2 linked regions of the Lonchura striata genome follow. The protein of the gene in region 1 binds, or shares a complex with, the protein of each later gene. Links are inferred from orthologs where the notes say so. Each region holds a gene or a part of one and is shown on either strand. Other genes may lie near its edges. The genes, in order: NCAPD2 and SMC2.

Evidence for each region.
Region 2: NCAPD2 (region 1) and SMC2 share a complex: the UniProt entries of both Homo sapiens proteins name them as parts of the condensin complex. The link is inferred for Lonchura striata from reciprocal best matches to the Homo sapiens genes NCAPD2 and SMC2.

What each region holds. Positions count from the first base shown.
Region 1 is NC_134604.1:29,375,952-29,392,391, forward strand, and holds the start of NCAPD2 (condensin complex subunit 1), read left to right. Parts: upstream 1-9,014; 5' UTR 9,015-9,020; coding exon 9,021-9,153; intron 9,154-9,244; coding exon 9,245-9,320; intron 9,321-9,414; coding exon 9,415-9,473; intron 9,474-9,533; exon of another isoform or gene 9,534-9,856; intron 9,857-9,930; coding exon 9,931-10,112; intron 10,113-10,625; coding exon 10,626-10,765; intron 10,766-11,085; coding exon 11,086-11,213; intron 11,214-11,297; coding exon 11,298-11,421; intron 11,422-11,502; coding exon 11,503-11,650; intron 11,651-12,533; coding exon 12,534-12,731; intron 12,732-13,245; coding exon 13,246-13,380; intron 13,381-13,936; coding exon 13,937-14,021; intron 14,022-14,601; coding exon 14,602-14,779; intron 14,780-14,983; coding exon 14,984-15,105; intron 15,106-16,022; coding exon 16,023-16,235; intron 16,236-16,440. Other genes in the region: VAMP1 (vesicle-associated membrane protein 1), read right to left, coding at 3,711-3,762, 4,028-4,186, 5,004-5,163, 5,846-5,847; MRPL51 (large ribosomal subunit protein mL51), read right to left, coding at 8,158-8,354, 8,499-8,769. UniProt on the Homo sapiens protein: Regulatory subunit of the condensin complex, a complex required for conversion of interphase chromatin into mitotic-like condense chromosomes.
Region 2 is NC_134642.1:61,411,902-61,427,928, reverse strand, and holds the start of SMC2 (structural maintenance of chromosomes protein 2), read right to left. Parts: upstream 7,046-16,027; 5' UTR 6,943-7,045; intron 6,459-6,942; 5' UTR 6,384-6,458; coding exon 6,216-6,383; intron 5,324-6,215; coding exon 5,174-5,323; intron 4,599-5,173; coding exon 4,476-4,598; intron 3,551-4,475; coding exon 3,512-3,550; intron 3,332-3,511; coding exon 3,221-3,331; intron 3,029-3,220; coding exon 2,984-3,028; intron 2,527-2,983; coding exon 2,293-2,526; intron 1,641-2,292; coding exon 1,491-1,640; intron 844-1,490; coding exon 610-843; intron 1-609. UniProt on the Homo sapiens protein: Central component of the condensin complex, a complex required for conversion of interphase chromatin into mitotic-like condense chromosomes.

The sequences.
Region 1 (16,440 bases):
CGAGCATTCAATCCCCAGCTTTGGCTGGGGACTTGGACACTGCATTATCAACAGTCCAAAAATGCATCTGTCCTGTGAAATCATCTTCCCTATGCCCCTCCATGAGCGAGGCTGAGAACTGACAGGAACACAACACAAAACTTGGCAGGAATTGTAGCATAACTCGTTCGTTCAGGTTGTGCAGGCCTGAACTGTGTGGAATTTTAGACTGTACATGCTGCTGTAATCCACCAGCCAGTCCAGACACCCTCCTTTCCCAGAAGGGCTTCCATCTCTGAAGAATTAGTCTGCTGCCTTGCTCCAAATTCACCATTGAGAGTTGTTCTGGTGTGTTCACTGTTCTGGTGTGATTTTGGTGATGTTTAAGACTGGACACTGATTGATCATAAGGGAACCAGAAGCCACAGGGAAGAACCTAGCTTTTGTAGCAGTAAGGCTACAAGTATCTAATTTTAAAAGAAGTCTGCACTGGACAAAGCTCTGTCATTTCCTTTTAATGAGTTTCAAATGTACAGTGAAGCAAAACAAAGGGGCACTTACCTTTATTCCAGTCATGCTCCAAGATACAGCATCCTACTCTTGGAGGTCTTCATTTGTGTTCTGAACTTACATTCCAACACCAATGGAGAATTGTTCCCTGGGTTTCAGGATCTGAGGTTATTGAAATCTAAAAGCAGCACAGCCTGAGAGCCAGAGCTGCCACTAACACACAGAAGGCAGTCCCCTGAACAGGATAGTGGCTGGACATTTGGTGGCTGACAGGAGACTTGCTTGGGCAGCCTCTTTCCCCAGAGCTGCTGGTTCTCACATTTTGTTACAGACTTACCAGAGTCAGTCCAGCACAGCTGGAACCACCATCATTTTACAATGGGAAAACAGCCACTGCTTTGAGGGACAGAAATTCAGGTATGTGCATGCTATGGAATTCACCAAAAAAAAAAAAAAAAATCCAGCAGTTTGGCATCCCAACCCCTTCCCACTCACTGACAGACCAGACAGACTCAGTAAGGTGGTAAATTGTGTTTCTTAGAGACCATTAAAAGTACATGAGCTGATTTCTAGAACATGCCAGAGGAGATTACAGTTGTGTTTATAGAGGAAATAAATAAACTGCACGTGCACGAGTGGCTGTGATGCTGTGGGCAGCAGAGTCCCTTGCTTTTACTAAGAGGGCCTTGGTGATTTGTTTTGCCCATGCACAGAGACACAAAGGAGGGGAAAGGGAGCAGAGGAGGAGGCAACATACAACATCCAAGAGAAAGAAATGAAAGAGACAGCCTAGGGGGACCTCAGCTCCCAGAAAGACAGGAGGAATGGGGCACCAAAGGCTTGTTTAGAAGAGTTCAAGAGAATTGCTGGTCTGGGGGCCTCAAGCTTGTAAAAGCCTACCCCCTAAAATGAGAGCAGTAGGTGGCACAAGCAGGCCCTGGCTCCTCTTCAGTAGATGCACTTCTGACCGTCCATCCCATCTCAGTTCCACAGGGAATTAGGGAAGTGCTCAGGGGACGAGGGATGCTTCACTCCAGATCTTCATCTCTGCCCTCCCCAAGGTGGAGAGGAATGGAATTGCAGGGAGATGAACTCAAATGAAAATGCTGGGGCATGGAAGTGAGCATGCAAAACCTAGCCCCTTGCCAGGGGCCCTGGGAGGCAGAAAGGGGCTTCCCCCAGCACATCCAGTGATACAAGAAGCATCTGCTCCTCCCATCTTTTGTACTTTGCTCCTATCTGGGAACTCCAGTGATGTCCTCCCTGCCTCCCCTTAGGCCTAAACAAATCCCAGAGCATTCTGGAACAGAGGCAGAGCTTTCTAAACTAATGGAGTACCCTCTTTCCAGTCTAGATTACAGGCCACAGCTCAACTTGTTATAAAAAGTTGAAAGACAAGATACACATTCCTCGGAAGACTCTACAGAAACAGGGCAGCTCATTTAACCCACGTCTGACAACCCATTCAAACAACTCACAGCTCTTGTTACTTTTGATGGTGAAGAACAAGGGAATCACTCACAGAAAGCCACAGCCACAAGTTTACTTCCATCAGAGACCACCCTGGACCTAAATTCAAGAGAACCCAGAGCAAGTAGGAGGATTCAGTTTGATCAGCAAGATCTCTAGAGGCATTAAGTTGCCAATATGGGACATCTGATGTCACTTTGCAATATCCTTGCCCAGTCCACCATTTCCCTTTAAATCCCCATCTAACCATTTCAAATGTTTTCTAGCTCCTGCTGAAAGTTAGGGTTTTGTGGCAGCAGACACAGAGCAGATAGCTGTATCAGAATCTGATATAATCAGATTCTGATCTAATCAGAAAGCTGGGCAGGTCATTCAGTCTCATCTACAATACCTCCAGCCCCCTTCAGCTCTATCTGCTATGGCAGTGAGTTTCCTCAATGTTCAACACTGTCACACAAGAGCAAAACACCAATTCCCATCCTGCCACTTCTCCAAAGTCTTCTTTCTGGAAAGCTACAAGACAATAGGAAGCTACAGGGTCCTGGCTTGTGTGTGCATAGATGAAAGGCATATTTGACACTCCCCACCAGACTAATTGTTGTTCACTTGTTCCTTGTGGAGAGACACTTTACTCCCACACATGCCTTTTTGATAATAGCAATGCCCCTTTCACTTAACTGTGTTTAGCCTGTTGCACTTGACTGAGGTAATCATGTAGGGCCTCCTTTATAAAAACTGAAATGGCCATGTTCAGGCAGCAAGTCACCTGGAAATAAGGACAGGCAGAATCAATCATTTCTTTGAGTGCTCACCTCTCCATGGCTAGAGAAACCTACATCACTACGTGTAGCTTAAATGGCTCACAGCCACTGGCCAACACAAACTAGCTTTTATTTCAGAAGCTCAGTGAAAAGCTCAAGTCATGCTACCACTCTTTTTAGGCAGAACACTAAAGGCTCTCACACGCTGAAGTCCTTCATCCCACAAGGCACTGTGTTAAGGCATTCTTATTTTGCTAGAGTTCACACAGGCACTATTTGACAAGCTTACACCCAAAAATAAACACAAAAAGTTCTCTGCAGAAGAGCAGGAGCAAATGGCTACCCACTCTTCCTCAGCTTCCCTTTCCTCTAAACTTAGAGGACGCTCCCTAAAGCTGCAGCAGCTATTGAAAACTCTACCTATGTTTAGTAAGCAGCTCAGAGCCCTGTACAGAAGATAAATTAAAACCAATAAGGAAATCAATGAAGAAGCTAGGTGAAAGGAAAGGAAAAATTCAGAGGCAAGAAGAGACAGGCATGGTAATAGAGGACAGGAGGTCGCAGACTGAAGGAGCTATATTTAAGTAAAAAAGTAGACTGGAGACAAAGCAATAGGAAAAAGGAAAGAACAAAAGGGCAAGTTACACCAATGGTCCCTCAGAGAGCTCCAAACCACCCACCAAGAAAGGAACTTGCCAACCCACCCACTCCAGGGTAAATGCCCCTCATACTTACAGGTTTATCTGACCTGGCAGGCAGAATTTCCCATTCCTACAATGATGGCATTCCCCATTCCTCATATTACTAGGTAAAGCATACCATTTCCACACTAAGTGAGGGATTTCCAGCACTTCTACCTCCCTTTCCCAAAGACTGGAGTTGACACTTATGCAACTAAGACCCTCAAGATCTCAAAACAAAAAGGAAAAGTTTAAAGTACTCTAGAGCTGGTGTTTCCTCACCTTTGAGTCTGAGGTTTTTGGTACTTACTTGCAATCACCACCACCACAAGGGCACCAATCACTCCCATCATGATCATCATCTGAAGAAAAAGATTGTCCAAGAGCAATACTCAGAACAGATTAAAAAAAATAGACATTAAATAAAGCTCCCATCCTTCCTGACAGCCAGGGAACCTATGCCAAGTTCCAAAGGCATGGCAGCCAAAGCCTCAAGGCCTTCCCATAGTGAAAGAATCTTAAGCATTTGAAATTGTTAGTAAGCTCCAGCTTATACTTGAAAGCTCTGCAGGAGAGGAGTAGCCCAGTTCCCTCCTGCCAAGAAGATTAGGGCACTAGGAAACTCACCTTGCAGTTCTTCCACCAGTACTTCCTTTTGAGTTTGGCTGCGCTGCTTTCAAACACTGAGGCACCGGCCTGAAGTGCATCTGCCCGGTCATCCAGCTCTGACAGCTTCTCGTCTCGCTGCAGCACCTTGTCTACATTTACACACATTATATCAACCACCTGCAGAAGGAACAATAGTGGGAGCAGCTGTATTGGCAAAGACAGCTGAAACCCTAAGAGGAAAAAACTTAGCCAATAACTGATGTTGCAATACTAACGAACAAAAAACATGAACAAGGGGGAGGGGAAGATCAGGGTAGAGAAAGAAGTCATTTCAAGTCAGTGCCTACTTTAAAATGGGAAAAAAAAAATCCGAGAGTCACTGTTAAAACATGAGTTCCAGTACACTTCAGTCAGGTCCTCAGCTTCACATTCTCATCTGCTTTTAAGAGCTCTCCATTCCAGCAGCAAGCCAAAGCCACCCTGCTTATGAGAGGAGTCGTGCGCTCGCTCACCCCCCGAGAGCTGCAAAATTGCTTTATGCGCTTCGTGCTGCTGCCCCGGCGAGGCACAAAGGCGCTACTGCGCGGCAGCAGCCAACCACCGGCTTTGATCCCGGGAAGCCAGGCAGGGATTCCCCCTCATCACTGCACACAGCGTTCCCTCGGAGCAGCCCGCAGGGACTAAGAGCTGTCCTGGATGCTGTACAGCTTTACTCCCATAAGAGATGCGCGATAACGATGTACCAAAAGAATCTAGCAAGCCTGGTCCTTGGTAGTCATATCTGGCATTGAGAGGCTTTTAAACGTAAAGCATTCTCTCCTCCAGCTTCTTTAATAGGTTTGCCACTATTTTTGAGTAGAGAGCATTAATTAAGTTCTGGCTTTGGCATGACAAAAGAGCCACCCCCTCAGTGAGAGACACCGGTTAAGAACATCGCTGCTGCAGAGCAGTGGGAGAGCGCCCAGGCACCATCAGGGCTGGCAGAGCTACTGACCTCCTGCACTTGGGCCTGTGTCTGCTGCAGGCGGCGATTGCTGGTCAGATTGGGGGGAGCCCCGGGGGGACCCCCGCCGGGGGCTGCCCCCTCGGGAGCGCCTCCCTCGGGAGCCCCTCCCTCGGGAGCCCCGGGAGCAGGCTGCTGAGCTGGGTCAGACCTACGGGAACACACACATCAGCCAAGAGAAAACTCAGCCGCTCGAGAACGCCCCCAGACCCACACGAACCCCAGTGTCCCCAGGCTGCAGCAGCGCTGGCAGCAGCGTCGGGAGCTGCAGCCTCGCTGGATCCCACAGGATCGGGAGCAGGCGGGCTCGTGGGAGAGCCCAAAGCAGGGGCAAGCCCAAGGGGGCAGCGGGAACGGAACAAGCATCCCGTCAAAGGGGCTTGCGGGTGCGGTCGCGCCAAGCGCTGTGGCCTCCCAGGGGGAACAGCGAGCTGGCCGCATGGATGTGACCAGGATACGGGGCAGGAAGGTGAGGGAAGAGGGACGGGGAGACAGAGCGGGGACATCCCGGGGGGACCGCGCAGCCACCTGGCTGGGCGCAGCGGTAGCCGCCGGCCAGGTTTGCTCCCGCTGGGGCTCCGCACATCACCACTGGGGCACGGCCCACGCACCCACTCACCACGCAGTCAGCGGGGGAGCAGGACCGCCCGGGGGCGGTGCGGGCAGCCCTCCCTGCGGCTGCTGCAATGCGCCACCCGACCCCACCGCCGCCGGCCAGGACGCGGGCTCTGCACTGACCCCCGTCCCCACGCTGCAGCCACCACCCCCACGCTGCAGCCACCACCCCCGCGCCGCGCCCACCGCAGCTCGCTGCCGGCCGGGCGGACACTCACATGGCCGGGCCGGGCAGGACCTGGGCACGCCGCGAACGGAGCTCCGCACCGACAGCCCCCCGCGCCCCCGGACCCCGCACTTATACAGGCGGGCCCCGCCCACGGGGCCAGCAGCCAATCAAAAGTTGCTCGGCACCTCCCCGGGTTCTTCCTCAGCCAATCAGCGCCGCGCGCTACGGAAACGGCCGTAATGTTAGCCCCGCCCCCAGACCGCCGCGGGACAGGCCCCGCCCCGCCGCGGAGCTGCCCAATGGGAGCAGCGCCCCGCGCCCGGCCCCGCCCCTGCGGCGGCCCCGCGGTGCCCGGGGCGCCGGGGGCTCGCGCGGCTCCGCTCCCGACCCACGGCCCGCCGCGGCACTGCCGGCCCCGAGCGCCTCCGCCGCGCTCCGGGCAGGTCACGCAGGGCCCGGTCGTGGTTACCTGCCCCGTTCAGGTTTCCTTTTGGAGCCTCCCGAAATCCCATCTCCGCAGTGTGTCTGTTGGCTCCGGTTAAGCCGCTGCCCTTGCAATTAAGAGATGGTGTCGCTGGCCCACTTCCAGCATACAGCGCGTCATGAAAGCGAAGCTGAACAAGTCCCAGTCAAGCTTCTGCAGCCTACTGGGAGAAATGAGGCTCCCGCAGCAGCCCTAAGAACAATATGGGGTTTTTCTGTCTAAATATCTGGAGAAGCCTGCTGGATCAGAAGGGGAGATTTTCCAACTCAGGACAAGAAAGGGGACAGGAGTGTCCCAGAACAAGAAGACTCTTCATACAGAATTTTACGTGGTGAGTAGAGAGTGACAAGTGTAGGCTCACATTTACACTACCTTTTCCTTCCTTAAGGCGATGCAGGATTGTCACCTAAGATTTTAGTGTCAGATATCACAGATTATCAGGTAGACAAAACCAGGTATGTTGCAGATTACAGCAGGGTAACTAGAAGATCGTGGTTGCAAGGTGAAGAATAATGCAGCATTGTGACTAGAGACAGGTGATTTGCAGATAGGAGCAGACTAGCACTGACCTCACAACTCCAGGTTTTTACACTCTGCCTGCAGACAGAAGGGGCAAGTTGAGGAAGAAGCTTCTGTAGCCTGGCAGCCTTTCCACTGCAGTCTGAGGACCATTCCAATAACCACTGCAAATAAGTTTGAGCTTATGGAATTAGTGTCCTCAGAGCTTTTGCCAGGTTGGTGCTTAGGGATTAAGAGATGAAAAATGGTACAAGATACTTTCTCTTGATACTTTTCCAGTTTCCAACATTATTTTTGGGCAAGGACTTGCTATACCTGCTCAGTCTCCACTTGGATCTGTGCAAGTTTCTTGAATTCACACCACCTTTTGACAGATCTGTCACCCTGCTACTGAGAATGTGGACTTGAGCTGTTTAAACAGAGAGTTTGCCTTCACTTTCCTCAGTCTTATGCCTAAAGAAAATCCTTTCCATTCATTCCTAGCTGCTTCCAACCAAATGCTTTTGGAGACAGAGCAGCATTGCTCTGCAGCAAGATACATCAAGTAAGAAGATAACTCCCTGATTACTTAGCAGCTAAATTAACAACTAAGGCAGAATTTGTATGCAAATGCCTGTTCATGTAATGGATTTTCCCTACGTGTACAGTTGTGTGATGTTGCACTACAGGGATGCCAGCTGTGACTCACTGTAACTTCTCCTCTAAAGGAACTGGCAACAGTTACAGAAAACTAGAGATTTAAAAAACATTTAAATACCTGATTTACTTTTGCAAATCCTGCCTAAATTATAAACAAAAAACTATTTGGTCATTAAATGTTATTAGCAGGGCCTAAGGTCATCATGAGTGTGGAATGAGACAAATCCCATTCTTAAGACAAGTTTTGATGCATTTTAACTAACATTTGGATCATTCACACTTAACCACACACGAGTGGAGGGCAAGGGGGAAAGCCATGAGCAGGAAGACACATTAGCAGGACTTCATGGTACTAATTTGAAAAATTTGGCTATGAGGAAAAATCTGAGTTGAAGAATACTGGAATTGTCATTGTAGATGTGTGAAGCTGGAGCTCAGAGACTGAAAGGATGCCAGAAGCCTGGCCTAAAAAACAGAGGAGCAGAGGGTCAAGTTCAGGGATGCAGGCTGGAATAGATGCCCGCAAGAAGTACGTCAGAAATGACTGAGGGGGCACAGAGGAGCTCAGGCCTGGAGAAGCAGCAGGCCCTTGGGACCTGGGTAGAAATAGGCAGCAAAGGTTGTAGAAAGCACTGGGAATTCAACTGTGTGGAAGCTGGCTTTATTCTAACTGCAATGCCACAAAATTCCACTCCACAGGCTGAAGCCACTTCTGTTCCCTAGCGGTGCTTTCCAGTGCGATTGAAGCGCTTGTACAGGTACCGGATCCTCTTGCTGAGTTTGTGATAGTCCTCTGCAAACATGCGGTCGCCCACCATCCGCTTCTTGCGGATGCACCTCTGCAGCTCGTTCCCCCGCCAGCCGCGCAGCCAAGTGGGCCCCATGATGAGACTCTTCGGGTGGATCTGGAAGCCGCCTGAGAACAGGAGAGACAGATGAAGCCAGGCACTGGAGAAGGCTGTTCCAGGGCGGCCGGCCCAAATCCTCCCTGCCCTATGGCTGCCGGCAGAGGCGAGTCCAGCCTCCCTCCCCTCCTGCCCCGGGGCGGTGCGTGTCTTACCCAGGATCCCCACGTTGTCATACACCCCGAACAAAGCCCGTTTCTTCGTCCACCGATCCACCGGCTTGCGCTTGGGCGGCTCCTTGATGCGGATGGGCCGGGAGAGCCCCGCCAGGGGCGAGGACAGCGGCACGGGGAGGCCGGGCCGCGCGGGCGCCCAGCGCGCCCCGCCGCAGTCGCTAAAGCCCCGCTGGGCGCACGGCAGGGGAGCGGCACGGCCCAGCAGGGCCCGGCCCGCCGCTCGCAGCAGCAGCGTTGCCGCCGCCGCCATGGGGATGACCCCGGAGCCCCGGGGACGGGACGGGAGCAGCGGCCGGGCCGCCCCTTCCGCCGCGGAGCGCCGGGGCGCGCGCGTGACGTCACGCCAACGGTCGGGAGGGCAGGGGAGCCGGCGATTGGGCGAGGGGCCGGCGCGCGGCGCAGCCGGCGGGCGCTGATAGGCCCGTGGCGGGAAGGGGCGGGGCTGGCGCGGTTCGCGCGCGCTGTTTCGAGCGCCCGGGGCCGTGCGGGGCTGTGGCGGCCATGGCGGCCATGGCGGCGGCCCCGGAGTTCTGCCTGCCCCTCGCTCCCGCCGATCTGCTGCGGGATGGCGGCCCCGGGCGCTACGTGGTGCGGGAGGTGCTGTCCGCCCGCGAGCTGCCGCCCGCACTCGCCGGTAAGGTGTCCCCACATCCCCTTCCCGGTCCGGCCCGGCCCTGCCGCCGGCTCACGGCCATCCCCCCGCCTCTCTCCGTGTTTTGCCGCAGCTTTCCGGGCCGCCTTCCGTGCGCAGGGCGCGCTGGCCGTGCTGCAGCACTTCGACTGCGTGTACAGCGTGCTGCAGTGAGTACGGGCACGGACGGGGCGGCGGGCGGGCGCTCGGCCCTCTGCCAGGCGCGCCTTGCCCGCCGCCTCACGCCCCGTGTTTGTCCCGCAGCCACTTCGGAACCGTGGGCACGGCTGTCAAGGAGGATGCCCTGGAGCTGATGATGCACGGTGGGTACCCGCTGTTTCCGGCCGACGCAGGACTAACGGAGAGGTTGTTCTCCCTTGGCGGCTCAATGATGATATAAAGGCTAATGTGACTCGGCCAGCTGGGCTGCACCCTCAGCCCACTCCTGTCATACGGGTCTGTAATCTTGGTGGACGATGCTGAGTTGTGCACGTTCGCTGTAAGGGCAGACCGACATTAAATCCTCTTGCCTGTGTCCCTGGAAAATAGGTCTGTGGGACCTATCAGCTCAGAGCGAGTGTTTCTCCGAGCTGACGGAGGGCTGTGGGGACAGGACAAGACAGCACGCCCAAGGACTGGGTTGCAGGGGGCAGCCCGTGTTACAGCTGGTGAGATGTGAGCACACATCTTTGGTAATCTGATGGCTGCTCCGAACCTCCCAAAGAGAGAATTGCTGAGGGACCTGGCAAGGAGTGCTCATGACTTTCTGCTTCTCCTCAGTGGTGTCCCATCATTCCAGTGATCTTCCTGCCATCCTGAGCGACTCTGGGCTGAGCCAGGCAGACCGTGCTGCTCACCTCAATGCTCTTAAGATGAACTGCTATTTGCTGACTGGCCTGATGGATGCTTTTGAAATGGAAACCTGCAAGAACAGTTGTATGGAGGCAGATCCTGGTAGGAAGGTAGGTCAAGAGACTGGGGGAAAGGTGATAAAAGTCAGAATAAAATTTTAAGCTTGCTGAACTCTGTAGTATCTGTCAGATTTATAGCTGAGTTTATATAAGCATGATGCCAGCAAGAGCATGTGGAGCACTGGTGCTTCTCTGAAACTGCATGAAAAACAGCCAAAGGACAATCATGTGTCTAAATATCAGCAGGGATTTGGATGCCCTGGCCTTTCTATTTCATTCTTCATTTTCTGGTTTGAATGTAGTATGCCAGTATTTTCGTAAGATTTCCTTTCTGTAGTGGCAGCGGATGCACATATAATCCTTAAACCATGCAAGGCACTGGTGCTGGCCTGAGCTAAGAGAGAAAAACTGGTGAGGGGGAAACCCCCTGTGATCTCACAAATCTCATTGTGTGTCTCTTAATGCTATAATAGATTTCTTATATTTGGAAGGAAGCAGGGTAGTGACAGAGTTTTGTCTGTTGTGAAGCTGCTGATGTATCTCACTGCGTAATCTCCTTTCTAGAGCAGGAAGAACCATGCCAAGACTTCTGGATCCTTGTGGGAAGAGGAGAGGGAGCCACTTTTACAGCTGCTTACACAGCTGCTGCAGCTGGATCTCCGTCAGCTTTGGGGTGCTTTAACAGTGGAAGAAGAGTTTGTCAGGTATGAGTTGGAGCAGGTGTATTGCTGGAATGAGTAACTGGTTCTGAGGGATAAAAGGTTAAATGATAACTCTACCAATGAGATGGTATTACAGCCCTCTGTGGGGTGCAGATCACTGGGAGGCTGAGGAAATAGCTCAAGGCAAAAGCAACATGTATAGAAACCACTTTCTCTCCTCCTGTAGGCCACAAAAAATTCAGATGCTTCCTAATTTTTAGAGAGCATTAGAGAATCTCTCAAACAGAAATGTGTGGTGGGCTAGAATGATATTTATGCAAGCTGAGATAGTGAGGTTTGCTGTTTGTCTTCTGTGGGTTTAGCTTAATAACGGGAAGCTGCTACCGTATCCTGGAGAATCCAAGTATTGGCCTTCAGAGGTACCGGGTCACGCGGGAGGCTCTGACACATCTGCTTGCTGCAGCTCTGGTTCACTGTGACCACATGTTCAGTGAGTTCCTGCCCTTCTGCCTTCTTCCTGAAGACATTCCCAGTTACTTTCCCTGACCTCTTTCTTCCTTCTCACGTGTTAAAGGTGCCACTCTGAAGATCACGCAGATGCTACAGCACTTTGAACATGTAGCCCCAGTGTTTGCACAGGCGGTGAGCCTCTGGGCTAAAGAGTATGGTCTAAAAAGCCTGGTGGGTGAGCTGCTAAGGTGAGAGAAATACTTGGAGGCTTGTCCTTTTATCCCTAGCAACTTGAGGCACCCCATTCCTTGTTTCATCTTTCTGTACAGGGAAATTGGACAGAAATGTCCCCAGGATTTGGCTCGTGAGTCTTCTGGAGTCAAGGGTTATGCTACTTTTATAAGTGAACTGGCTGAACAGATTCCAGCTCTGGTGCTCTCCAACATGAGTGTTCTCCTGCCTCACTTGGATGGGGAGGTACATTTCTGCAAAGTTACCTGTCCAGAAAAGTCTAACAGTAGAGATGCTGCTATCCAGTTTTTCTGTCTGATACAGAACCTCTTCCACAGAGCTCAGGTATCCAATACCTGCTCTGTTGGATTAGATTTTGCCCTTACCTAAAAGATGCAAAGGGAACAGAAACCATGGCATCTCCTGTCTGGTTGTCACTATCAGATGTCAAGAGAACAGCAGACTGCCTACTCGTGTGATGTCCCTGCTGTTGTCCCTTGTTCTTCAGCACTTAATGAGTTTGTCATTGTGTTACCTTTTATCTGCTGTGTTTCTTGTGTCAGTTCTTGGCTTCTATGAGCCTACCTGGATAGGAGGATTTGGGTTGGAAGGGACCTTAACACCTCTGCCATGGTTAGGGACACTCTCCACTAGACCAGGTTGCTCAAAGCCCCATCCAACCTGGCCTTGAACAGTTCTAGGGATGGGGCATCCACAGCTTCTCAGGGCAACCTATTCAAGTGTCTCACCACAGTCTCAGTAAAGAATTTCTTCCTCATATCTAATCTAAACCTACCTTCACTTTGAGGCCATTCTTTCTTGCCCTATCACTGAATGCCCTGGTAAAAAGTCTCTCTCCTGCTCTCTCACAGCCCTCTTTAGGTCCTGGGAGGTGCCTCCCCCAGAGCCTTCTCTTTTCCAGGCTGCACAAGACCAACTCTCAGCCTGTCTTCATAGCAAAGGTTACTCTGTCTTGCATGCACAGCTATGTTCACCCAAACTTAATTCAATATCCATGCTGAAAAAATTCACTTAGGGCTGGAGCCTGGGATTTGGAAGGCCCACACTCTGGGCATATCAAATCATGTCTTTTGGTCTGCTCCTAGTTCAACAACTCCTGTCTTGGCAGAGTTACATGATGCGAAATGCCATTCTGGGAGCTATGGCAGAAGTGCTGGTGCAGGTGCTGAGTGGTGACCAGCTGGAGGAAGCTGCCCGTGGTACTCGGGACAAGTTTCTGGACATGCTGCAGGCCCACATGTGTGACGTGCACAGCTTTGTGCGCAGCCGCGTGCTGCAGCTCTTCACTCGCATCGTGCAGAGCAAGGCAAGTCTGTGCTGGGCAAATGGCGTCGCCTCAGTCATCTCTTCCCATCTTGTGTGTCTTGAGGGAATTTCTGCCACTCTGCTTTTTGTTTGCAGAGATTGAAGTTTTAACAGAGAAAGGTGCTGTCCCTCTATACTGTGGTGTCTGCAGTTTCTTCCAAGAGACCAAAGATCTCAGGGGTGGGAGAACTGGGGGTGAAAATTAGATACTGCTCATTCTTACCAGGACAAACTAGAAGAAAGAGCATAGCATACAGCCTCTTTTCACACACTGGTATGGGAGAACATCACAATTACCAGATATACTAAGACTCAGCTCAACAGGATCCTGGATAACCTAAATCCTTGCTTTCAGGGAAGTTTGGACCAGAATATATCAGGAGGTCTTTTGAGCCCTAGACTTTTCTGTAAATACATAATCTGTGCTTTTTAGTACATTAATATGTCTGCAGTAAACTCTTCCCAAGTGTCTGAGCCTTCTTGATAACTTTATCTGTGCTCTTGTTGTGTTCTAGGCCCTGCCTTTGACTCAGTTTCAGTCTGTGGTGTCGTTGGCTGTTGGGCGGCTCAAAGACAAATCTGTCTTAGTGGTTAAAAATGCAATCCAGCTCCTGGCTGCATTTTTGTCCAATAACCCCTTCTCCAGCAAGGTAAATCCAATTCATGTGGTGGATATGTTAGATGTCTCTTTGCAGGCTAAATATCTGCAGGGTGCTATAGCCAGGGCAGTAGCATTGCTATGTCTTGTGGGAGGAACGGTGTAGCCTTTGATACTGCAGGTGGCAGCTTTCTGGTCTTCCCAGGTTCAGATTTTGAGTTCTTTGACTCGCCCCTCTATTGGTGAAATTCATAGCTATGATGAAGGCCAGGAAGGATGTGATTGAGGTAAAAACCTGCAGCATTTTTGAGTCCACTGTGAGGTTTCTCTCCTTAGGATCAAGATTAGTTTTTTAGAATATTCTTCGTGGATCTGCAGCTCTTTGTGTTTAGCTGCACCTTCTCCTGAGTTTCTGAGCCTTAGTGAGCAACTTAGAGCAGTTCTCATTCTGGGACTGGGGCCAGAGTCTACTCTTCCAGTTTCCGTAAACAGGGTTATCCATGGAGATTGACAACTAAAGCAGGGAGTGGAAGAGATAGGAGAATTCTGGCATTTCAGGAAAATGAGGATAACTAACATATTTCTTTTTCTCTTCCTGACATCTTCAGCTAAGCTGGACTGACTTGGATGGGCCACTGAAGAAAGAAGTGCAGAAACTGAAAGAAATGAGGGATCGTAGCAGACCCTCAGCAGGTAATTTCCTTTCTTCTTCTTTCCACTTTCTGGGACAGTCCAGAATGTACTTTTCCTCATTAAATTTGCTCCCAGGTTGTGACAGGTTTTGTCTCACATCTTGAGTGAGATGGTGAGACCAGATAACTGGGATTAAACTCACAACAGTTTTCCTTATGGCGGTGTTGTAAAAGGATCATATTAATATCCATGTCTAAATCAACAGTCCTTACAGCTATATGTCCTATTTTCAGGCTAAGAACTGAAAATGTCAATGAACACCCTCCCAGGTTTCTCTTTTTTTCAAGGACTGCTTGAGTCATGATTTTGCTCAGATGTTATTTAAACTTGATTTGTAGGCAGTACCAAAGCCCAAGGTTAAAAAAATGACAGTTTTCTTACCTGTCTTTTTTTCTGCCTTCAGTGGTTTATTTGTTTTAGTCAGAGTTCTTATTCTCACTGCAGTCTGGGTGGGATCAGCAGTGGGAACACTACCTGCCTGGGGAGGAGGTAGGGGAAGTTCCTAAATTCCAGATGAGTTTTTCCTTCCCATTAAAGGTGTCACCTGAGTCTGTGTTCTTCAATACTTCTGTTTTATAAGTAGCTCCAGTGATCATCCCAGAGGAAGAGTGGGAAGCGATGCTGCCAGAAGTTAGGGCTGCCACACAGCAGCTCTTTCAGCCACTGGAGGAAGAGGAAGAGGAGGTGCTGGAAGTTGAAGAAACAGTGGAGAGGACAGTGGAGCAAATCACTGGTCTGTTGAAGAAGCTGAATTACAAGTAAGAAGGCTCTGCGGTGACAGTGTTTATCCCACAGGGTGATTTCCGGTAACATTACTCTGTAGGAAGAGATTGATGTGGGCAGACAGTACAAGATGCTGATAGGAGCTGCTTTCCCAGGTGTTCAGGGCAAAGTTGGATGGTTTCCCTTATGTTCTGCTCTGATGTGTTGCTGATACTCTCTTGGGCAATGTCATTGTCCAGGAGCGCAGCCTGTCTTACACAGAAGGCCCTGTGTCGCTTCCAGGGAAAGGAACCTTTCATTAGCCCTGGGGAGGAAAACGAGGAGGCAACAATCCTGGCTGTTCTGAAGAGACTTTACATAGGTAACTGTATCACTCTGTCTGTACCCCAAGTCCAAGATAATGCCAGAGCAGATTAAAGCCCTCTGGAATGCTCTGTCCCTCTTTCTGACCTCTGGGGCTCAGCTCTCCCAGAACTGCAGCATCACTGTATTATTCACTGTTCAAGTACCTTGGCATTTTAGCTGGATCATACTGATCTTAATTTTTGGCTGGAACAGTTCCATGGTCCCAGTAGAAGTGCATTTTTGGTGCCTTAACTCACATATTGTCTGAAGGAAGTGAAGGCAGTGTTGCTGCTCACACCCTTCTGCCCTGTCTGAATTTGTCAGTTCTGCTTCCTGAGCAGGTAGTGGTACATAATGCTTACCCCTAGCAGCCTTGACCAAGTATCTGGTTCAAGCAGAGTCTTGGTTATCTGGGGCCTGAGCCTCTGGGTGTATTTTCAAGACTTCACACTCTTTGGTGTTTGTTTCTGCATCAAGTTGTTTAGCCAATCATGTTGAGGATATTTTTGTTGGAAGTCTACTGTCTAAAAATCTTTACTTTGTGAACTCTCCACACTTGCACAAACTTTGCTGTGGAGTAGTAGTGTTTGCCTTCTCTTGGTTTCCTTTTAGGTCCCCCATCTATGTTTGGGGAATTACCAAGTTCAGATAAACCCAATCAGAATTTAATGGTGTTTATCCCAACTGGACCATGCCCTTCCATACCCTTCTACCAAGCTGGCAGTTCTCTGGAGCATCACACTGTAGTACTGGAACTTGCTCCACAGCATGCCAAGATTTTGTAGCTACATCTGATTGCAGAATTTGGATTTTTGTGTCCTGGCTCTTGGAAGGTGTCACTGTGGGGATGGGGAGAGGAGGGTTAAAATGCCCTGAACTGTGCCTGTATTTCTTGTATCTTCAGTACTGCTCACAAATAAGTGTGCTTTGTAGGTTCATGCCCAGGTGGTGAGAACAGTGAGGATCCTCCATATGACAACAGCAGTGACAAGATTGAAGAAGTTGTACAGGAAGAGCAGCCTCAAACAGAGCTGGTCAAACAGGAGATGTTGGTGCACTACCTGCAAGATGCTTACAACTTCTCAGTGAAAATCTCAGAAGCTCTGAACCTGATCAGCAGGATGATGTATGAAAATTCTGTCTCAGGTATGTGAAATAACCTTTTTTCTCCATTCAGCATTTCTAGATCTTTCCTTGCTTGAGAGAAAATGCTGGAGTGGTAGAACTCCAGGAGAAGGAGAAAAGATTGAAGGAGCTGCTCTTCATTGAGCAGATGTCATAGACACTTCTAGGGTATTGGAAAAGCAAGCTCCCTCTAAATGAGTGTCATGAAGGAGTAGAATAGGGCATG
Region 2 (16,027 bases), on another chromosome or scaffold:
GAGAGGAAACAAAGTAATTTAAGGTGGGATATAGCTGTCCTTATTACTCTATGAAGAATTTCTCTCTAAGTGAGACAAAGAAAGTGAACTTTTGAAATTTAAACTCTGCTATCAGAACTACCCCAGCAGAGGTCTTCTAGCCTAAGACAAAACAAGCATCATCTCTTTCAGTCATGTGATGAACATACAATTTAACTAAGGAGAAAATAGTTTCTTCTAAACTCTCTATTTCAAAATGACATGCATCTTTATTTTGATTCCATTAAGTTTAACTGCCAAAATCTCTTTGATTGTCCACCATAAACAACAATCCTCATTTTTTCCTATTCAATACTATTGATCATTTGAGTACAGTGAATCCTACTTTATATCTCAAATGTCAGTTTCTAATACTTCCTTGCAGCAATGCTACAGCATTTTCCTGTGCAAGGATATTTCAGTTATATTTTATCAAAAAGTTAGTTTAATGCATATGCTAAAATGTAAAATATCTTGCATAAATATTCTGCACCTCTTTTCATTGATCTTTCAAGCATCTGTCAATTGGTTTTCAGACAATTTCCAAAAGCATGAAGGCAGGTCTGAGACATGCAGAGTTTTTTTTCTTACCTGTTTAGCCTCTATTGCTGCTTGGCTAATTTCATTTTTGCAGATCATCATCTGTCCTGAAAGAGTAGCTTCTTCACCATCCTTATTGTTGGACAGGCCAGCAGATACAGCATTAAAATGCTGTTGTGCTGCAACTAGAGCATGTGCATCTTTTTCACTTTCTTCCAGTAAAACATTTAGTTCTTTCTCTAGATTCTTTACCTCTTTCTCCTTTGACATTAATGCTTTAGAATCCTTCAGCAAAACAGAAAAAAAAAAAAAAGAGAGAACCTGAGTCTATTACTTTGAAATTCAAGTTCTTTAGCTGAGGAGCAACAAGTAGTTTTTATCATCTAAATTTCTATGACCCTTTGTCAGATTTTGTGATCTAGCAATATGTCTTTGCATGTTTTCAAATGTGTTACTCGCCCCATGAGTGTACTGAATATCTACAGAGAGATGAAACACAGAAAGTGGTAGCAACTGCCAAAGACCTAGAATTATCTCGCTCTTCCCAATACCTAAAAAATGATCCTCCTGCATAACGAAACATTGATTGTCAAAAATATGCAAGGCAGAGATTTCTCATTTAACATTAAGAGTAACAAATATCCAGAAAGCATAGTAGTTTGAAGCTACAGAGACCTCTGCTGAGCTTAAGAAAAAATGTGGAACCACAAGGAGCTGCACTTTATTTGTATTTGCATCACATATTTTTCTAAAGAGAACCTACTACTTATGTTGAAAAAATTAAACAATGCCCTTAATATTTGTCTCTGCTTCTAAATGTAATTCTTGCCAATCACAGGATTCTTTATACCACAACAGGAAAGAAAAAAACAGCTGTTCCCACAATCGGAATTAATTTAGTATGTAAAGAAAATTATATATAAATATCTTACCTTCTGCATACGTGCTACCAATTCCTTATACTTAACCTCTTCACCTTTTAAGTTTTGCTTCTTGAGATCAAGAGCACTTTGTGCTTTTGCATTAACTCTTTGATTTGCTGAAAGAGCAGCTTCTAGTTCTTGGAGTTTACCACCAACTTCCTACAACCAGTAATAAAGGAAATTTAATTTAGCCTGTGACACCAATGCAGTATTTGTAATACTTTGCCTTCTGTTCAGAGCTTTTTGTAGAAGGAAATCTGACCAAGCAGGCAGTAGTGTTCAATACAAACAGGTCAGATCATCTCCCACCTCTGAAATACAACTTAACTAGAACTATTATTGAAGACCCACACCACTCCATAAGATGGGACACTGTCCTTGTACAGAAGGTGGATTTAAACACTAAAGCCTCTATGGGCCATCCTGTATGTCATGAAATTTACTGCCCCCAAAATCAAAGTCAATACTGATTACTGCCAAACAAAACTTTCCTTACTTTTCTTTTGAGACATCAACAAAAAGGGAGAAAAAAGCCTCTGGCAAAACTTACCATTGAATGCATAGAGTAAAAACATGAAGTCAAACAGTTTTTATGTTTCAGTTATTTTTCATTTACATTTCAGACAAAAAAAAAACTTTAAATTGATATCTTCTAGATAAAACCGACAATGAACAATGCATAACCTAAGCTACACACCAGAAGACAAAAATTCAACGGTATACTATCTTTAGAAATAATTCCAGTATCTTAAAATTCTTTGTATGCAGGTATTCAGAGGAGTACAATGTTTATTTTCATTTTTTCATTTACCTTATCCTTTTTCTTTTCCATCTCTGCTATGTGTTCATTAAGCTGTTTTACCTTCTGTTCAATTTCAGCTCTTGATTCCTTAAACTTCTCTACATTAGCTTGCATTTCCTTTAGCATACCAGTGGAGGATATCTTTGTTTCTTCAGCCAGAACAAACTGATAAGCTACACAAAAACGGCTTAAATGTTCTATTTCTCGTACTACTTTTTGGTATTCTAGATATAATGCTCGTTTCTGGACAAAACAAACAAACAAACAAAAAAAGGCACTAAATTTAAATTTTGATGAAAAAACAGAGTTACATAAGGCTACTAGAGAAATCTTGTAAGTACTCCTAAACATCAGTATTTGTAAGTAAGAGGATGGATTCTTCATGTTATTCTCAGCTAAAATAATATTCATATAATAGACTGCACACCAGAAATACCACTTGACTTATTTTTTAAAACTAAGACATTTTAAAATCTATTTTTATCTAGTTCTGTTGTTTTCTTCCTTCTCTCTATATCTCTCTCTAGGATTTCCTGGAAGTCCAAAATGTCACATTCTGTGTACTTGGAAAAATAACAAAATTCTTTCCCTTACAAGACTCTGCAGTACTTGAAAACATGCTATTGTTTTAGCTAAAACTTACTGGTTCAGGGTAGTTGTGAAAGTATTTTTTCAGTATTTGAATCTAATTTTTCCATACCTCTTTCAGTTTCTGCAAAGTTGGACCGATCTCCTCATTTAAGACCTGAAACACATAGCAGAAGATTTATATTTTGATTTTACTGAACTCTAAAATTTAAACATGTATAGGCATGGATATCTAGTTCCAGATGCAGGAACGAAATATTCTAGAATGCTGTACAAAGTCAACATTGAACTAGCTGATCAGTTATCTTTAACAAACATGAATGAAAGTCTACTTTACAACACATAGTACCATTTGAATGTTTTTCAGTTTGAATTCCTTCTTCTCTATGGTTTTCTGGACAGTTATTTTCTTGCACTCGTACATCCTAGTTCCAGCTGCTTCTTCAATCATAGCTAAAATCTAAAATAAAGCAATGCAAAAAACTTTGATGTTTCGTCTTATGTTAGATTGGTTCAATTAAGCTGAATGTCTCATCTCTCCCCAATTTTTATTTTTGTTGTCCCCCTCCCAACATGTTTATTCTTGTTATTCAAATCAGTTCAATAACTTTAGACAAAAACACTCCCACAACTTTCCTACCTCTGGTGGCTTCATATTTAAAACTTTGGTAATTTTTCCCTGGTAACAGAAACATAAATCAAGATCAGTGGTTGTGTATCATGAAGTAGTAAAAAGAAAAACCAAAACCCCAAACCTCCATTCACTTTTACACATTGTATATAAGTTCAAGCACTTTTAAGTTTGGTTTTTTTTTTTTTTTTTGCTACAAGAATAATCTAGTTTACTCAGTTGTTTTGCTCTTCAAAGTTCAAATAAGTCACTCTTTCAGGTAATATATTTGAAGTGGCCCTTTACAATGTATCTTAGGCTAATCTTCCACAGTTCTTACTACATCTTAAAGGAGTAATTCAAATATTTTTCCTAGAGTCTTACTGGGTTTCTGATGTTGAATAAGCTCCTAATCATAAACCAGCTTTATTGGTCATGTAGCTCATACATAACAGGTAGAAAGAGAGTATGTACAAAACTGTTCCTCACTTTGGCATCCACTTGGAACAGTTACCTTTGAATCAATAAATCCTCTGTTTTATTATTCCTTGCAAATATTTCAGGGATTTGCCTAGTCCCTTACAGTCCTCCCAATTTGTCAACTTTCTTTTGATAATTTTGACTTAAGAAGGTACATATCTCAACCTCATTCAAGGTGCTGTCTAACATGGGAGCACAAATAATAGCAAATAAAACCCACCATTTTATAATATTTATAAAAGCAATACCTAGCTGTTAAGAAGAAAAAAAAATAAAATGGGAATATATTTCGGAAAAGTTTTGCTAACATGAGGGCCGCATGAGGTCTTGTGCTACAAGATGTGTTTTAGGGTCAAACTATGCTGTACTGGAAATATTAATGACTTAACAGACTTCATTTTTTCTTGGTAAAATGACACTCTAATTAGGAATTAATTATTTTCCTACTATCTCCCCATCTTAAATTTAGTACAAGTCCTACTCTTTCTGGATTTTATAAAGATGCACACAATACCTGCATAATGAGGAAATGAGGATTATTGACATTCAGTCCAATGGAACAGAATAAATCCTGCACACGACTGTTGGCAGCATTCACACCATTGATAAGATACTTACTTCTACCTCCTACAGCAACCTAGAGAACAAAGACAAAAAAACTGCTTGGTGTTGTGAGAATATAAACTGCAATAAAGAACAAAAAAATCTGAGCAAATCACACTTGTTATATTTTTGCATATGTATGTATGTACAAACTGTGCAGAACATCAAAACAGAACTTGTTTGACATCGAAAATATTTAACTAAAATATAAGATTAGTCATTGAGGAAAATACTGTCAAGAAACCTTCCAAAAACTCTACGTTAAAAAAAAATAATCAAAAAGTAATCAAAACCCAAAACCCAACATCTTCACCAGAAAAATAAAGGTTCCTTCGCTATTGGAGGCCAAATTTAACACAGAGTTCAGATATTAAGAAGAAAGATATGAAAGCAGTAAAAGCCGCAAGGTAGAAAATTTTAACTTGCTTTATGAACATTTCTAGCTCGTACACTGGTACAGTTTTTCTAACTAACTACACTATAAAAGCAACATAGAAACCTTGCCTCTACTGCAGAAACTCAGAAAATCACCCCCTTTTTCCCTGCCCACTCATGAGCATGGTAAAAATGTAAATAGGTTATGAAAAAATACAGATATTAAAGGCTTACCTGCCTAGTCACAGTGATCTCATCATTAGCTTCAAATCCCAGTGGACTTTGACTTTTGTTTGAATTATCAAAGTTAATAGACACAGTTGCTTTTGTAATTCCAGCTTGCCCACTCTTATAAATTAGATCATGGAAGTTGCAAGCTCGCACCTAAGTTCAGGGAACAGATAAATACTTTTTTGAAAGAAATTAACATTTTAATTGTAATACTGTAGGTCTTGGAGAAATCAATATAAAAACCAAAGATCTAGCTGCATATTTGAGTTCATGTGAACTGGCACACGGGAGCTGCAAGGTGCTATCATTGTGAAACTACAGTGTGTGCCAGTCTAGTTTTACTTATCCAGATAACTGTTTCTGCATGAGGCTCCTGAAAAACACTGAATACATCTGTAAAAAAAGCCAGCTGACAGTAAATTTATTTAACAAACACTTATTTTTCACAATGCAGTTCACAGGAAAATGATTCAGAAAATGTTCCTTAGAGGGCTGCCTGCTTTGTCAACAGCTGGGGGAAGGTAGGGATGGGAAAGAAAGCAAATTTAAAAATCATCTTCAGACAGAGATTGAAACTGATGTCAAAGCACATATATTTTAGTAAAAATAAAGCAGATATATTATCACTTAAATAATAAGCATTGTATGAAAATCACTTTTAAATCTTTTTCTGATGAACCAGGTAGCCAGATTTTAAGACTTAATCCAGAACTGAAAACATTTATTACAAATTAGTAAATTAGTGCCTGTAGATGCAAAAAGGACCTTTAGCTTGAAGCTGTTAGCTTTTAAGTGGTTATTTTTAGTCTATATTGTTTTAAGCCACATACTTGTGTAACTGTGGTACGTGGATGAAGTTGTAACTCAACATAAGGCTGAGCAACAATGATAGAGACCCAGATTAATGCAATGAAATATCGAAATAATGAAAATATTTCTTTCAAAGACACACCATGTCAGGTCTTCCGTGGGAGGTTACTCACTAGAGTAACGTTAAAAGTTGCTAACAGAAGAAAGACTTTTCTTAAATGTCCTATCTCTTTACCTGTGACAGATTGCTGATTCCCAGCACAAAACAGATGGAGTCCAAGATATTGGATTTGCCACTACCATTCAAGCCAGTAATGGCATTGAATAGCGGGTCAAAGTTACTAATTTCCGTCCTCTGAGCATAGGATTTAAAACCTTCAAGAACAATTGACTTAATGTACATCTTCCCAATGCTCCCAAAAGGTATTCCAGGCCAAGTATTCCTCTGAGCACTGAGAAAGGTATCCGGAGTATAATCCTATACACATCAAAGAAAAAAAATAATCAAATGAATGATACTGCCAAACAAACAACTAGACCCGAGGAAATGAAAGAACGCATGCCTTTTACAACAAAAGTATAATACATTTATAAACTAAAAAAGCCAAGTAAACCACAGATCCAGGCAGTATCCCAACTGCACTTCGGCATTTCTAAGGGACTTTACGCACAGTTTATCAGAACACTCGGCTATAGACTCGCGGCAAAGCCACGGTTTGTCGCAAAGCGACACGGCGCGGTCTCCCTCTCCCGCTTGCGGAATTGCCGTACCTGTCCAGCCTCACCGCCCGCGAGGGACGAATCCCGGGAAGCGGCAGCCCGGGCTCCGAGCGAGGACCCAGCAGAGCCCCATCCCCACCGCTGCCGCCCGCGGCCCTGCTCCAGCGAGCCCTCCCTGCCGCCTCTGGCGCCGCATCGGCCGTGCGAGGCCTGCTTCCCTTCCCGGCCCCTCGCCCGCTCACCCCCGTGCAGGGCTGTCCCTCGATGCCAGCGCCTCACTCGCTCCTCCGCACCCGCTCCGCGCCGCCCGCCACGATCAAATTTTGGCGCCGACCGCTGCGACCGTTAGGGGCGGCGCCTGATGGCGGCCACGCCGCGCCCTCAGCGCGGCCGGCCCGCCCCACCCCGGCGGAGCGGGCGCAGCGGGGGCGCCTGGCCGGTGCCGGGGGCGCCTGGCCGGTGCCGGGGGCGCCTGGCCGGTGCCGGGGGCGCCTGGCCGGTGCCGGGGGCGCCTGGCCGGGAGGGACGGCGCGCACCGGGCGCAGAAAGGCGGGCGCGGCTAGGAAAGGGCTCCTCCGGCTCTGACGGGGGCGGAAAGTGGCGGGTGGCGGCCCATGGCGGGGAGGACGGCCGGGCGCCCGTGAGGGAGATGGGGGTGGGCGGGAAGGCGCTTGGTAAGTTCGTGGTGAGTTCTGCAGCGCGGCTGAGGAGCTTGAGCGTTAGCTCCGGGCTGCGGCGGGAAGTGGCTTTGTCCTCCCTGAAATTACATCAAAATCAAAGAAGTGCTGTTCTATACTTCCTACACGCATTCCTACTATGCCACCCCTAACCCACTCCCTCCTCCCCAAAGAATAAAAAAAAAAAACCCAAGCGCTATTTATGCCTGTTCAAATCTATTATTGTAATTTATACAGACATGCTTCCATTCGAGCAGAATAAGGAGAGCTTGTTCAAAACGTGAGTACGTGTCATTGGAAGAAAGGTAGCTGTCTGTCCATTGCTGCGCTGCTCAAAGCAGGAAGGCAAAGTCGGCTGGATGCATTTACTCGTTTCTGAGCTTGCTTTTGTCGTGCTGTGTAGGTAGACCAGGACTTTGCAGCTGCACAGCGTTACTGTTGAGGTCTGCTGTAAAACTTTGTGCCCTGGACTACTGAGTTTGATGTTATTTCAGTAATTCGAAATAATTCAGACTGAAGGTCTACATTGCATTAGGGAAGAAAAATATAGTGCATTTGCTTGCTGCACGAATTATATTGGATGCAGCTGTTTAAGGCATTAGCGTGACAGCACTGCTGCTGGAGCTACTGTAGCCAGAAGTACTTGATGGTCCCTTATCTGCAGTTCACTTGCTTACATCTGGAACCTATATTGGGAAAAACTATTTTTAATTTGGACAAGAGTCAGATTGATACTGTGTAACTATGCAGCCCACTCTTTATTTAGCAAACTGAAAATGCTCCCAAATTATTTTTGAATTTACCTTCTGTGGCAAACATACTGGAGTGTTTCTTGCCTGCAGGAAAGTTCCTGGTTTGTTTCTGTTAGAGGTGGCTGCTTGGACTACACTGAAGGTGGCACCTGGTTGTTCTTCAAATGGCCAAAGTCCTTCTCAATGTGTGGTTGATGGAGCTGGCAGCTGGGGACCTAGTACTGTACCTGCTCCGCCTGCTCCTTTTCCATCCAGATTAACCACAGCCTGAAATAAGGAAATAGTAATAAAGCAGAACCAATTCTGATGTGAGAGGCTTCATCATAGGAAGACAGCCATGTTTGTCCCCATTTACATATGATGTGGGAAAGAAAAATAATTTCTTAAGTATTAAGAAATAAGTTCTTAAGTAGATCTGTAATAGCTTTGATGTCACAAGGCTTAAATTTGAGTGCTTCATTTTAAGGAATATAAATCCGGTTGTAGATATTTAACATGCAGTTAGCACCTTGGAGCGAATATAACACATGGTTTGAGCAAGGAAAATATATTTTTAGCAGCTGGCTATCTAGGAATGGTTTTATTATTGTTATAAGAACTTTATCGAACTTCAGGGAAGCAAAATTCCAGCTGTTCAATGTGCTAGTCAGTAGAATCCTGTGCAAAACTGCCTTTTTTACAAGAGGTGACATATTTTTCAGGACACCTTCCATAGAACACAAGAGCTAGTGATGCCCAGTCACAAGAAATTGGGTAAGGAAGGCAAGAAATCAGCATGAGTGAGTCAAACAAAAAGGCAAGAGGGACATGCGGAGGCAGTGGAAGCAGACACAGATATCTGGGAAGAATACAGGGAGTCTGATTATGTAGGGATGGGCTGAGGAAGGCCAGGGGGCATCTGGAGCTGAACTTGACAAGGAATGCTAAGAATAACAACAAGGGTTTCTACAGGTATGTTACTTTGACAGAAGAAGTCAAAGAAAGTGTACACACACATACCACTGTGGGAAATGCAAGGCTGGCAAACAGGTAGCAGTGAATGAGAAAACTGAGGTACTCAACAAATTTTTTGCCTGTCTTCAATGGCAAACCACCTCTCTTCCCACACCCTTCAACAGGACTGGAGTAGCAAAGTGTTTCCTGCTGTAAGTGAAGGTCTAGTGGTGGGATTGCATCTGTGAAAAATGCCATCCTAGGAGTCCCAGTGTCATGATAAAGAAGCTATCTTTCAGTGACATATGACACCTGACAGATCTGCCTCTTGCCAGTGATCAACACTGATCAAATGAATGATACTGATCAAATGAATGATGACTGTGAATTCTGACTGAGATATTTCCTATGTTCTGTAAATCTGAGTGTTCATCTAGCCCTACCTCAGAGACAAACTGGTGAGTTAAACTTGTCCCTAAATTGGAGGATGTCCAACAGAGGACAAAGTCCAGTTGGCAGCCCACTATTAGCCATAATTTTTGATATCTTTATGAAAGATGTAGACAGTCATGACCTGGAAGAGCAGAATCTTTTCCCCACTACCCTGAACTTGGATCCAACTGCATCCAGTGTTCTCAGTTCCCTAGTAGAAGAAAGTCACTGACACACATGAACAAATCCAGAGTAGGGTCACCAAGATGATGAAGGAAAATCAAGAGAGAAATGGCTTTGTTCAGTTTCCAGAAACAAAAGCTATTGTTTCTGCTGCCTTCTTTAGCTGCTTAGCAAGACAGTTTTAAGAGAATGGAACCCACCTCATCTGAGGGGAATGCATGGTAAGAGATGATAAATGTTGTTTGCTAAACAGTATTTTCCAGTGGCGCATGGAGAGTCCTGAGATTTCCCCCTGCCAAGCCATGTCAAGGTCAGATATTAGAACAGGTTGCCTGAAGAGATTGTGAAATCTTTATCTTTCAAAAGTAATACAGCTTCGCATGTCTGTGTACAATCTGATCTGTACTTCCACTCTTAAAATTTGTTTCCTTGGACTCTTGTTGACATACCTCTTCTGTTATGAACAAAACAGCCTGGCTGGGACACTTGGCTCGACCTAAGTACTGACATTGAAATGTTAATTAGCTAATCGCCCCTGGGAATCACCTACACCCCCACCCAAACTAGGACTAGGATGCAAAATAAGCCAGTGGAATCATGGGAGGGGGTTTTGGGGATGAAAAACACCCCAAAATGAAAAAGAGGGGCACAGTGGAGGGGGCTGGATGGGTGTGTTGGTTGGGGAAAAGGGACCCCATCCCTAGTCTATGTTTAACCTGTCACTATAACCTGCAGAGGATCAGATTGGACTGGGCTGTGGGAAGCAGGCACAAGGAATCAGACACTCTACCTGGTGTTACCAGGAGGGAAGGAGAGGGATAGCTGCTGCGGGATCTCAGCAGCAGGCTCTGCACATCCCCCCACCCTTCGGCTACCAGTGTGCCAGGAGAAAAAGAGAGAGGACGCTCTGCTGATCGGGACTTCAGATACAGACTGGACACCTCTTCACCTCTGGCTACCAGTGTGCCACGGAGACTCCAGGGACAGACTCTGTACGCCTTCTCGCCCTTCAGCTACCGGAAGAAGCTACAAACACCCCCCCTGCCGAGCTGACTTTTTAATAAAGAGTTGAACACTAATAAAGGCATAAAACCTGTTCATTTCATCTTCTTTTTTTCCTCATGTCCCTTTAATTTTTAATTTATCTGTCTTTTAAATATTATAAGATAAAAGGTAACAGATACCAGATCAGATGTATGTATATGCTAAGCAGGCCGGAGCAGCGGGTTTCTGTCTTGAGGGAGAAGTTGGTTGTGCATGTTTCAAGCAGGAACTTGTTCAGTGATGAAGCTACCCTTGTTATATTACAGAAATTGAAAGCATCAGCTCGAATTTTGTCACTTCCCTTCTGAGTTCACTTAGTCATGATGTTGCAAGAGATCTGTACACTGCAAGGGGGTGTTTAACATTTGTAGAAATCTATGCTTTTAAGAACCCAAAGCTTTCTTTGGCAGTTGTAAAATCAAGCAGATTAAACATTTCTCTCTGTGGGGCAGTACTGGCCTGTTGTTGCAAATCTAAGAAGTGAAACTGGGCTACATGGGGTGTCTCTACAGTTTTGGTAAAATTTTGCATTTACTGATGCTACAACATATGTTTCAACATTTAAGTAAGGCAGAAGTAATAAAAGTGCCTAAAAGGAAATTTAGGGTGCCATGCAGTGACTAGGAAAGCACAGCAGGCCCTTTAAGAAACTTCAGCTTTTTTTGTCAGCCCACATCAACTGCTGTGCCCCACAGAACTGCTAAAATTGGAAAAAATACCTTTTAGATCATCAAGTCCAACCTAGCATCACCATGTTCACCAGTAAATGAATGTAGTTTGTCCATGTAGTAGACATGGTCTCAAGTACCATATCCAGATGTTTTTTGAACACTTCCAGGTATGGTGATTCCACTCGTTCCTTGGGCAGCATGTTCCAATGCTTTACAGCCCTTTCTGTGAAGAATATTTTCATAGCATCTATACTAAATCTTCCTTGGTTCAGTGTAAGCTCATTTCCTCTCATCCTGTTCCTTGGAGACAGGCCCCACCTGGCTACAGCCTCCTTTCAGATAGTTGTAGACAGTGATAAGGTCTTACTTTATGCCCAGTTTCTGAGAGTGAATGCAGCTGACCTATTTGATGATATTGATGATATTGATGGTGTTAACTTCCCTTTTCACTTCATTGTGTGAACTTGCTCCTTTGAACCTCTGATGGAATTGTGACCTGATAACAAAGTACAGGGTGGCACATTTAGCAGAGTGAAAACTAGTCACCTTCAGTCTCTGACCTTCTTCCAAGATTAGATAGTATTGCATAAGTAAGTGTAGTTGCAGCTTTATTGTTTCAAAATGCAGTGTCATGCTTGCATAGATATTTGCGGTATGGTCTCTGACAAAAGTAGCATGGGAGTAGTTTGCTTTTACTTGTTTCTTACCACGGGAAAAAAAAAAGTACCGTTGAAAAGGCATTGTAAGAACTAAGCCAGAGGGGAAGAACAAGTAATTTTTTGCTAAAGCGAGTAGGAATGTAGGAGTTGAGTCCATATTCACTCCCAGGTAATTGGTAATCCTTGTATGTGTATGGGATGTCCTGAGGTAGCCTCTGGATTACTACTCCCTTGGCAGTATCTATGCCAAGAAGTCCTTTTATGTTAGTTTGGGAGGTTTTTTGTGGGTTGGTTTTTTTTGTTGTTTGTTTGCTTGTTTTAGTTTGTTTGTTTTGGGGGTTTTTTAAGGTATTTGTCTCTTATGCTACCACTTTGCTTTGAAATGCTGCAGAAGACTAATAAATTAGATCTGGGGAAAAAAAAAAAAAAGATTATGATTGCCAGCAAAACTTTGCTGTTGTGGTGATGGGTGAATTTCTCCTTAGAACCAATCTACAAATTAATTGTCTGAGATACACTTTACTCAACTTTTAATCATACCCTTTTCTTCCAATGTGGGTGTGAGCATAGGTGTAACTGCTTCAGAATGGAGATAAAAGTGCCACAATCATATCTGCAAACTGTGGTTGCCAGGAAGAAGAGTTGTTAAACGAACCCAAAATTTGAATTTAACTAATGTAATTGACAGGTTTCAAAAAGGATTTTGTCCTCAAGGTTAGATTTGGGCAAGTCCAGGCTAGGAAATTATACCACACCACTCAGGAATAACAACTAAGGTTATTTAAGAAAAGTAAACTTTTCTAATTTGACTCATGTTGTCTTGAAAGCTTTACTGCTTTTCTGCTTTAATGTGATGGTTCCCAGATTTCAGCTATCACCGTTAGGTCTTCAGTGTATTGAAACTATTTCAGTTTTCTCAGACTTGTCTGTTCTCTTCTTTTCTCGTTGCTAGTATGTATTATGGTATTCCAGTTTTCACCTCTTCCTCCTTCTTTTCCATTTTCCCCTGAATTGTGAACATCCTTACTCATGCTGATTTTGGGGACTGAGCTATGATTACCTGTGTGAAGGTGCTTTGTTTTCACTTTCAGCCCTGCTGCAGTTTGCAGCAGTGAATACAGGTGGGATCTTTGCTTTGTTACATACATTGTTAGTGCAAAAAGCCAAGACTTCCCAATTCATTACCTCTTTCCTTGATAGTCTTTATTATTTGATAACTTGATGGGCTAGACCACAGGCAAGGAGGGTTTGAAGGACATCAATGACATCAAGAATAAATGCTGTCTTGGACATAAATTTCAGCAAAGGCTTTGATGGTTCTTTTGTAAGAAAATCAAGCAGAAGTGCATCACTTTATTTTTAAAGGTGTCTTCTTATCACTCTCTGTGCTGTTCCTTCTCAAGTTATCATAGCAGTCTCTTTACTGTAATGATTATAATGGTCTATGAAACACTTTATACAGAAAACACACAGAAGTGAAACAAAGAGTTTTAAATCTACTATCAAAAAGCTGTTAGAGGAATGTTCCTAATAACAATTTTGAGTCAAAATTTGGAACATATTTGGAATTTATTTGCAGAGACCTGTTCAAAAAACCAACAATTTTCAGGCATTTATATACACTATAATATTCAAGATTTTTTATTGACACTCTGAAAAATCTGCCTTACTTATTGCATCAAAATATATATGGTTTGTTTCTTTTAAGTACTTCCAGAACATTTAATCTCTTTTTTTTTTTTTTTATGGATAACCCAAGTTTTATCCAGCTAAACAGTGCTTTATTAAACTTACTGTCCTGGTTGGACAATTCCTATTGATTAAGTTTTCTGGAGTATTCTCAACTATGAAATAGGTCCCTTACTGCATCTGCACCTGTACTAGTCAAGTTTTCTGGGATGTACAGACCTTTTGACTCCTTATCTTTCTTTTTCTGTGACTTCTAATTAATCTCTAGTTAATTGATAACCATTGAATAATTCTTTATTAAATTTTGTTCTTTATTGATTAGATTGTCTAAGAGGTATGGGTTCATGGAGTTCCTTTCTGCAGTTGCAGTGACGTAATTTCTCAGGGTCTTCTTCTGGCATTCAGCCAACACAAATCTAAATCAAAATCAGCTAAAATCTCAGTCAGACTTTTTTTTAACTAATCAAATGTAGTTCATTACAAAATTTTTTTAAAATCACATAACTCCTGGTTAACTAAGATACAACCATCAAAATAAATGTATTATACAAATCTACTGACATTGAAAACAAAGTAGTATTACAGTTTACAAGAGCAGGTTACTGTTCTTGGAATTGAAACTGTGGCTATGACATACTTAGTCCAGTAAGATTTAGCTGGAACTCATAAGTGTTTTATCACTGCTGTTTATCCTTTGGAGTTATTTAATATGCTTAAGCAGTGTAGTCCTTATGACTTCTTATGATTTTGTATCTAAACATACAAAATCGTCTTGATTTGTTAACCTGGAAATCAGTTTGTGGATCCATTTAATCAAGTATGCACCTCTGTTTTCTGTTTGGTTTGGGGTTCTTTGCTTTATGACCTACAGCAAACTCTCCTAGCATTGAAGTGGATGTAATGAAGCAAAATCATTTTCAGGAGAGAAAAGATAAATAGTAGACAGAAAATTTGTCCTCCTTCCAAAATTAGGCTTAAATATAATAAAAAACGGTATAGTGAAATTAGTGTTTCAATATTGTTCCTAGGCAGGATCATTGCTCTGCAGAAAAAACCCCGTGTATTCCAAAAAGTAGAGATCTTTGATAAGAAGGTGAGGATTCGTGTGAATAGGAGATCTGGGAGTAGAAGCACCCGAAGAAACTACGGAAAAGAAATGGCCAGTACTATGGCACGTAGATTTGCGGATCGTCATGATGACAGCAGGTGTGAATCGGCCAGGTAGGGAAAACAAAGGACAGCCTGAAGCAAGTAACAAGTTCTTAGTTCTGTACTCAGACGTGAAGACTCAAGCTACTAAGATAGGATAGGGGAAAGTAAAGCACAGGGCTGGTGCCTTGCAGGCATACAGAGAACAGAGACAAAAATCGGTATTGATGATTCACAAACACGTGACAAGATGGAAGACAAAGTAATTTCTGAATCACTGGTGGCTCCCCCGGGATACAAATGGCGCATCACTGAATGCTGTCGGTCTGGACAGCATCTCTTTGTCCCTGGTCATTCTTGGTTGGAGCACTTGGATACCTATCTAAATGCAGGGCACACAGTTAGGACAAATCCTTCTCAATGCCTGTGAGTGTAAGCTAGTGAGTGGGATCAGTTTTGTGTTTCTCTAAACTCAGCTTTTGCTCTTGTAAACATGTTTTCTGTTTTTGTTGTCGCTGCAGTGTCATGGTATCTTTTGTTACAGCCAAACACTGTTGACACCAAAGTAAATACATAAAGCAGTAGAAACAAAAGCTGGCCCACTTACCTACTGTGGGGTACTTCGATTTTGATGATAGTTCATTTTGTGAAAGGTGATTTCCCCAGCACACACTTCTGGTGCAGGAAGCCTTAACTTGTGTTTCTTTGTCATTGAGGAACATGGAATATCTCTGTTTCATCGCAGAAAGTTGTCGAGGGCTGATTAGTTTCTGGATTTGGTGACTTACTCTTTTATCTAAATAGTGGAGAGCTTGACCTGTTCTCCCTGATCTTTGCATGTGCATCCTTAAACACATTTTGCTTTTTTTCCACTCAGGTCCTTGCTACTAATTAGCACTTCAGTCTTCATGGGTTTTGTAGCTGAACACATTGCTATATATTGTTTTTTTTCACACTTTTCACCCTTCATATTATACTTGTGCGTTTTCAGAAAAAGAACAAAAGCTGAAGATGGTCCCCTGCACAAAGTTTTCTCTCTTGCTACATACCTCATTGCAACATCGTCGGGGCAAAATGCCAACATTTGCTATTGTTTCTTAAGGTGGCTCACACATAGAGGCTTAGCCACACAAGCTCT